Linked DNA regions of Schizosaccharomyces pombe. Changing the gene in region 1 together with any one later gene gives a genetic interaction. Each region holds a gene or a part of one and is shown in the gene's direction. Other genes may lie near its edges. The genes, in order: ppk11 and pmo25.

Evidence for each region.
Region 2: of ppk11 (region 1) and pmo25, changing one enhances a phenotype caused by changing the other (phenotypic enhancement), as found in Schizosaccharomyces pombe (one study listed by BioGRID).

Annotation. Positions count from the first base shown.
Region 1 is NC_003424.3:4,281,991-4,286,728, reverse strand, and holds ppk11 (PAK-like kinase Ppk11), read left to right. Parts: upstream 1-2,174; 5' UTR 2,175-2,275; coding exon 2,276-3,214; 3' UTR 3,215-4,238; downstream 4,239-4,738. Other genes in the region: UBX domain protein Ubx2, read left to right, coding at 528-1,811; vma16 (V-type ATPase V0 subunit c''), read right to left, coding at 4,637-4,738.
Region 2 is NC_003424.3:4,703,912-4,707,768, reverse strand, and holds pmo25 (mo25 family protein Pmo25), read left to right. Parts: upstream 1-1,827; 5' UTR 1,828-1,849; coding exon 1,850-1,951; exon of another isoform or gene 1,952-2,006; coding exon 2,007-2,459; exon of another isoform or gene 2,460-2,544; coding exon 2,545-2,979; 3' UTR 2,980-3,281; downstream 3,282-3,857. Other genes in the region: kinesin-like protein Klp3, read right to left, coding at 1-36, 110-263, 309-382, 591-690, 744-854; mannosyltransferase complex subunit Alg9, read right to left, coding at 3,448-3,857.

The DNA of each region.
Region 1 (4,738 bases):
ATATGCATGGCTAGTAATACTTGTGATTCCTATGTAATTTATAATTAAAACAGCATGAACTGTAAAACTTTTTTAGTAGTCATCGTCAAAAAGCCATTTCATTGCTCATATAGACTAGCAAAGTTGTATGAGTATTACTGGGTTTGAAAAATTATATGCAAATTACTAAAAGATTTTCCAAGATTTCAGTATAAAGTATCAGAAAAAAGTACGAGCTTTTCAAGTCCTTACTGATTTAATTAATAGAGACTTTTATGACTGAGACCCTCTTTTCTAAAGTCATTATTTCTATGATTTCAGCAAGTTGTTTTGTTAATGTCCTTATCGCGTTTTCGTAAATTTTAAAACCTGGCAAAGAATATCAAAAATTATAAGTCATTTTCTCTTAAAATTATAAAACTTAAATTGGACAACTAATAAAAAATTTACTTTAAATTTGTTTACGTATGGGGTATGCGTATACCTCTCTGACTAAACCTGCTCTACTTGCCATTTACCAAGTACAGGTATAAACGAAGGTAAAAAAAATGGATGGAGACGAAGCTAGTTTAGTAGCCAACTTCTGCGCAATAACTAATTCAACACCTGAAAAAGCTCAAGAGTACTTGAGCGTTGCAGATGGCGATTTATCGACTGCAATCACATTGTTCTTTGAAAGTGGAGGCGTTACCGATGTGCAATCGAGCTATATAGAAGCACCGAGTCAGACTGAGCCTGTAGAAGAAATTCGTGCGCCTATTGCACCTACCAGAGAGGTTTTGGTAGACCCGTTAGCTGATATGTCAGCAGGAACTTCTATTATGGGCAACAACTTTGGATTCGGGGGATTTCCAAGAATGAATCGAAGACAAAGAAGGCGTATGGGTATTTTTGATCAATCTCCCTCTCAAATCCCTTTTCCATCAAGTAATACAGAAGACTCGTCAGAAGAGTCTGACAGTTCAAGTAGAGCGTCACGCCTTGCAAAATTGTTTCGACCGCCGTATGATATAATTTCCAATCTCAGCCTTGATGAAGCTCGAATAGAAGCATCTTCTCAGAAGCGGTGGATCCTTGTCAATTTACAGACATCAACGTCGTTTGAATGTCAGGTACTTAACCGTGATTTATGGAAAGACGAGTCAGTAAAAGAGGTGATTCGTGCACACTTTTTATTTCTTCAGCTTTTGGATGACGAAGAGCCTGGCATGGAGTTTAAAAGGTTTTACCCCGTTCGTTCTACGCCTCACATTGCTATCCTTGATCCAAGGACCGGAGAGCGCGTTAAGGAATGGAGCAAGTCGTTTACGCCAGCTGATTTTGTCATTGCTCTGAACGATTTTCTAGAAGGGTGTACCTTGGATGAAACCAGTGGTCGTAAAAACCCTTTGGGAGCAAAATCACAAAAGCCAGTCGAAGCGATGTCTGAAGATGAGCAAATGCACAAAGCAATTGCAGCTTCCCTAGGAAATGGAAACTCGACAACTGAATCTCAAGGCGAAAGCTCTTCACAGCAAGCAGAAAGTCATGGGGTGGCCGATGATACTGTTCATAAAATCGATTCAGCTGAATGTGATGCCGAAGAACCATCTCCAGGACCCAATGTCACAAGAATCCAAATTCGTATGCCCAATGGAGCACGTTTCATTCGTAGGTTTTCTTTGACCGACCCAGTAAGTAAAGTGTATGCGTATGTGAAAGGAGTTGCCGAAGGTGCAGATAAGCAACCGTTTTCTCTTACATTTCAGAGAAAAAGTCTTTGGACGTCTTTGGATTCTACTATCAAGGAAGCAGGGATCCAAAACACAGCTTTGCAATTTGAATTCCAATGATAAAAAGTTTGATGAGTGTTTTGCTTGCTTTTCTATCCCAAAAATAGATATTTTCCTTGTGGTTAAGTATAATGAGATACATCCTAATGAAATTCCACCGTTTATTTATTCATTACATAAAAAATGCTTTGGCATGCCAGTTAAGTAATAAACCATATATTAGCTGTAGAATTGACTAAACGTATATTTATATTACGCATCTACGAATACTACTAGTGCACGAAGTGATAAGTCCTTTAAAATATCCAGATAAATATTAATTGTTTAATATTTAAGTGCACTTTTTCTGTAGAAAGATCTCATACTCAAGATACAGACTCAAATATCCCTGTAAACATATCAGCCTTCGCGGATACCGACTTTACACGGAGCCATATGGCTGTTCCATATACGAAGTTCCAGGTAAACTAACACTATCAATCCTTTTTCTTTGTAGAATTCAATTGTATTTATTAATATATAATATGGAAAAACATCAATACCGGGATTTACAACTTATTGGACAAGGAAGTTTTGGATCAGTCTTTCGAGCTCAAGATGTTGAATCATCCAAGATTGTAGCACTTAAAGTTGTAGATTTAGATGCTACAAAGGACCAGATTGAGACTTTGACCCAAGAAATTAACTTTCTGATCGATCTGAATTCGGTTCACATTACGAAATATTATGCATCATTCGTTGATGGATTTCGATTGTGGATAACTATGGAATATTGCGATGGAGGAAGTTGTTTAGACCTTTTGAAGCTTTCAGGAACGTTCAGTGAACGTGTTATCGCCGAAGTTATGAGGCAGGTATTAGAGGCCCTTGTTTATCTACATGGTCAAGGTAAAATGCATCGTGATATTAAAGCTGCCAACATTTTAACTATGAAAGATGGACTAGTTAAGCTTGCTGACTTTGGCGTATCAGGTCAGTTGGAGAGCTTGCGTGACAAAAATGATGACTTCGTTGGTACGCCTTTTTGGATGGCTCCTGAAGTTGTAAAGCAGACAGGATACAATTACAAAGCGGATATTTGGTCATTGGGAATTACGGCTTACGAATTGGCTACTGGGGAGCCTCCATATTCTGGCATACATCCGATGAAAGTTCTTTTACTAATACCAAAGCATTCCCCTCCGTCATTAGAAAGAAGTAAGTTTTCACGTGCATTCTGCGATTTTGTTAGCAACTGTTTGAAAAAGAACCCAAAGGATAGAGCTACCGCTGAATATTTGTCGAAACACAAGTTCATCAAAAAGTATTGTCCCAACACATCTGTGAAGGAAGTTGTAGCTTCTTATGCGAAATGGAAAGAATCCGAGCTATTACCGGAAGCTACCCCCTATAATAGTACCATGGGTAATTCTGCAAACACCATTGATGAAGTTGTTTGGGATTTTGGAACAGTTCGGCGATAAGCAAACGTTCACTTTTTTTCTTGTCTTTTTTGATCGCCTTGTATTGCTATCTTACATCAGTTAAAAAATACGGTTTGGAAGCAATGTATTTATACAAGTTTTTATTAACAAAAATTCTCATGTTAAGGCTTCTTACCCATTGAGCCGACTGGCTTTTTTTTCCGAGTTTAACAACTACTGTTCATATGTTTTTTCTTCTCTTAGACCTTGATTTAATACATTCAATATCGATTTGTGATAGCATCGCAGCCCTATATATGACAGATTAACCTAATATTCGTTTGATTGCGACGAGTACCAAGATATAGAAGACGCACATCTTTTTATCCCTTCTGTACTTGATATGGTTTGGGACTTTAAGCAATCGTTTTATATTTGATATCCTGATTTCTTTTATATCTTCGTTCCGACTAGTCTCAATATTAGGACAATACAACACCTGCTATGAGCTTTTACTAAGTGATGGAGTTACAGAGGTTAACAGTATTGGAAAACATATATTTATGCAATCTCCCGTAATTCCTTCATCCTGTCATGATACCGCTGATGTTTACCTGAGTGTCTCCAAATCGACTGTACAACTTTATGAGTTACTGCCATAAGTTGTAGCTGTTTTTACTTTACAATTCCATTATATCAACCATTTCTATATCTGGATAGCCCGAATCAGGTAGGAATTGAAACCTTTGAAAATATAGTATGCAAAATCAGATTTAAAAAAATACCGTTTTGTCATGATTGATAGCTTTTTGTCAACCCAATAATCAAGAATACTAAATCTGTAACCCTAATTTCCAGTTACGAAAGAACATGTGCAAGTTATACAAGGTATATTGTTTATTTACTGTAAACTTTGCTGTGTGGAAATGAGCTGGTGTTCTTTGATCATATAGAGAATAGGATAAATAGATTTGGATTCTAGTTGATCAAATGCAAAGAGATTGCAAAATTTATAAATTGATTAGAAGCATATTGAATTAAATCACAGTAACTAATTCCCATAAGACTGAATGAATTTGTCCGCAATTTGAGATAATAACATGCATATAGGTTGAAAAAGCATGTAGTTATATAATAGCTGAGTTTTTGGTTTCTTTAGCAGTATAATAGAGAAAAAATAAGTAATGAACTTATCCAAGTCTGAAATTCTGCACTGGATCAGGAAGCCAGTTGGTCAATCAATCGAAACTGATTATTCAATAACAGCACAATTTCTATAATTTATTTCATCTCAAAAAATGAAGCATTCGCAAGAAAAACTTGTAATAATTATCGTTATTTATAAAAATACCAAATAAGCTGTGCAAGCGCTTAGAAAAGTACATGGAAATATTAAAGGTAAATAAGGAACGGCTGAACGGAAAAAAACTTGTAAATTTATGCATTTACAGTTGTATGAAAAACAAAAAGAATTGTTTATAATTAAGAAAAATCACTAGCTTTTCCACCAATTAACAATCCAACGATCAATCCAAATAATCCCAAGACACTTCCGAAAATTTCGACAACAAGAACTTTTACGAA
Region 2 (3,857 bases), 420 kb from region 1:
GTTTATCTTCATGAACCGTCAGTCTGTCATTTTTTTCTGTAAATCATGGTTAATTTTGCTGAAATTAAATACGAACGTCGCAAAATTTCTACGGCATTTGAAGGCTTACCGGAAAGTAGATCATGAATTTTTTCCATGTAGATTTCCATGTATGATACCTTCACTTCGTATTCAGTAGTAGATGGTGAATCGCGGATTTTGTCAAAAATACGCCTGAGCATTCTTGGAGTCATTCCTTCTTTTTCGAAATTATTTTCAATACCCTAAAGATTGTTAGAAAAGTGTGCCAGGTGAAATTGTGAATATACCATCATGGTGTATGTTTTGCCGGATCCTGTCTGTCCATAGGCTAGTACTGTTCCGTTATAACCCAAGAATAAGTCTATAATATATTAGTACATATTTAATGAAATTCAGAACAACTTGAATGTGATTCGAACAATGTATTAAAATGGCAATTCGTTTCAAATGAAGCGTCAAAACGAGCGCATATAAAAAAAGGCTATGCTATAATTTCATACAAGCTGTTGCTGACAACGATGAAATTAATCCGTTCAACGCCGTGTAAAGTTTTACTATCATTCACATACCATCGACTGTCGATTCAATTGAATACGAAAATATATCATTCTGAGTGCTAGAAGGATGAAAAACACGATCGAATACAAAGTTTCCTGAGTAATCACTAGTCTTTTAATCATGTCAGCCGAATTCTAAAGTAAAGATCAATTGTTGAAACCTACCTCGATATGAACAGTAGAATCGTTTAATGGGTATATCACATTATTTCCTCCAAGGTCTTGTTCCAACTGGTTCGTGGGCCGAATTCGGCACACTACTTTAATTGAAGTCATTGAGTAAAACTGCTTTATAAAAAGATAAAAAATCAAATAATGTATGATTAAAACGCAGTATATAAATTAGATCCATACATCCAAAAAAATCATTAAAGACAATATGTGAGCGGGCTAATTTCATATACAGGGAAAGACGAGGTTAACCTAACATGGTGCCTCTACAATAATTGTTGTTTAAGGCAACGTATCAAAAACAGAATAATATCATGTAATTAACTACATAATTGTTTAATGTTAAAGCTCGAAGTGTGAATTAAAAAAAATAAATTTACAAATCAACAGGCTAAAATTGTTTACTTCCTTCTACATATTCTTTTTTTCCTGATATTATTTGAAGATTTACACATGTATAAAATTCTTAAGATTGTTCAATCTTGATTCATATTTTAAGCAGAGTATTTTACCCTTCGTCTGATTAATATCTGTGACGAAAATTGGATTGCAATTTCTCACATATTTATTTATGAAAATTTGATTAAATGGTAAGAACGAGAAACCTCGCAGGTATTTATTTATTTTTTTTTTTAAATTAAATAATTTTTTTAAATTGTGAAGTTTATATGGAGATTTGGATGTATTTGCAATTTACAAGTTTATCCCAGATACTATTTCAAACATTAGCATTAAAAAACGTTTGTTTTACTACTTTGTATTTCTACTAGCTATACCAACCTACCAATTCATTTACCGAAGAGAAAAAGGTATGGAAAATGCATAATTCATAAATAGATCTACTTAGTACACTTGCTATCATCTAAATGCACCTGCGTTTCAATACTTGATTACTTATGTATAATCGAGATGTAACAACCCCCACATTGGTATCACTTCAGGTATAAGTAAAGGTAATTTGAATACTCAAGAAGTGTACCTTAATAGTATTCAACTGAATATGAAAATAGACCCCCACTGTGGACCATCGCCTGGCACCCACTTTACTTACCCTGTCATATGCCATAAGTTTTTAGAGAAACCGAATTCCATAATTCCGCATGTCGTTTCTGTTCAATAAACGACCAAAATCAACCCAAGATGTTGTTCGCTGCTTATGTGATAATCTCCCAAAGTTGGAAATAAACAATGATAAAAAGAAGGTATTAATTATTAGTAATTGTTGTTTTTGTTCGTTTAGATGACTAACGTAAACAGTCCTTTGAGGAAGTTTCCAAATGTTTACAGAATTTACGGGTTTCATTGTGTGGGACAGCTGAAGTAGAGCCTGATGCTGATCTCGTATCAGACTTATCTTTTCAAATTTACCAGTCGAATTTACCTTTTTTACTCGTTCGATATTTACCGAAATTGGAGTTTGAGTCTAAAAAGGATACAGGACTAATATTTAGCGCTTTACTTAGGAGGCATGTAGCATCGAGATATCCCACTGTTGACTACATGCTTGCGCACCCGCAAATCTTTCCAGTATTGGTCTCATACTATCGATACCAGGAAGTAGCTTTTACTGCTGGTTCTATCCTTCGTGAGTGTTCCCGTCATGAAGCCCTTAATGAGGTACTTTTAAACTCACGAGATTTTTGGACATTTTTTAGTTTGATACAAGCCTCTAGTTTTGATATGGCGAGTGATGCGTTTTCGACTTTTAAGGTACGTATTATCCCCAAATAAAACTTCTGTCGTTGCAATGTTTTTATATACTCCCGCTAGTTTTGCATTTACTAACTTTAATCAGTCTATTCTTCTTAATCATAAATCCCAAGTTGCTGAGTTTATTTCATACCATTTTGACGAGTTTTTTAAGCAATACACTGTCCTTTTGAAATCTGAAAATTATGTTACCAAACGTCAATCTTTAAAGCTTTTAGGGGAAATTCTTCTTAATCGTGCTAACCGTTCAGTCATGACACGCTATATTAGTTCTGCTGAGAATCTGAAACTAATGATGATTCTGCTGAGAGATAAGAGTAAAAACATTCAATTTGAAGCTTTTCATGTTTTTAAATTGTTTGTTGCTAATCCTGAAAAGTCGGAAGAAGTAATCGAAATATTAAGGAGGAACAAATCAAAGTTGATTTCTTACTTGTCAGCTTTTCATACTGACCGGAAAAATGATGAGCAGTTTAATGATGAACGCGCATTTGTAATAAAACAGATTGAACGCTTATGACTCTTGTTACTCACCAATGTGCTCATGTCTTTCAAAATCATGCTGTTGTCCATCCTATATTTACAAAGGAAAAAAAATTGTAGATTAGATTTATTAAATGATATATGCGAGTTGAAATATTTGATGCATGAGATACGGATGCTTTAGATATTAGCATTAGGTTAATTGCTAACCGATTCCATGAATAAAAGAACTTTATTATTTCATGTACTAAGACTTCCTAAGATTGTCTGACATCGCCAAGTCAACCGTTTAGATAGATTATTTGACACTAATTATTAATTAAATATCTGACAAATTGGAAAATCAAATGTAAAATAACTTCGCATTTTTTCTATGTAATTGAGTTTCCACAGCCTTTTCTTTCTTCTTAGAGAATTTAAAGCTTTGGACATATGCTTGCAAAGACTTTTACAATTTTTAGTAATAACAACCTAAGAAAGGCTTACATACACTCTCTTAAAAATTTTAAGCTTGTTGTTTAGAGGCACGACGCAAATTTGAAAAATCAATCTTGACCGGCTTTTTCACCAATATCTCATATCGGCCCCATTTAGGCTCAATAAAGGGGACAGCAAAAGCTCTGCCCATAAAAGGAGTTTGTTTCGTGTCAATGAAAGGGTACACCATGACTGGAATCCAACCGTCAGACTTTGAATATATCGGTTCGTTGACTGTGGCCTTCGAATGATCAAACTCTAAATCTATTAAAAAATCGCAAGACTCAAGAGAAGTATAACGAGTTGGCTCTTCATTATTGAATTCATTCATGTGTTCAGGGATCTGATAGTAGCCTTCACGGTTCCACCATGTTGAATTAGATTCAACGAATTCACCGGGTAAAATACCGTCAAACTCACTCTTTACAAATTTTAGGC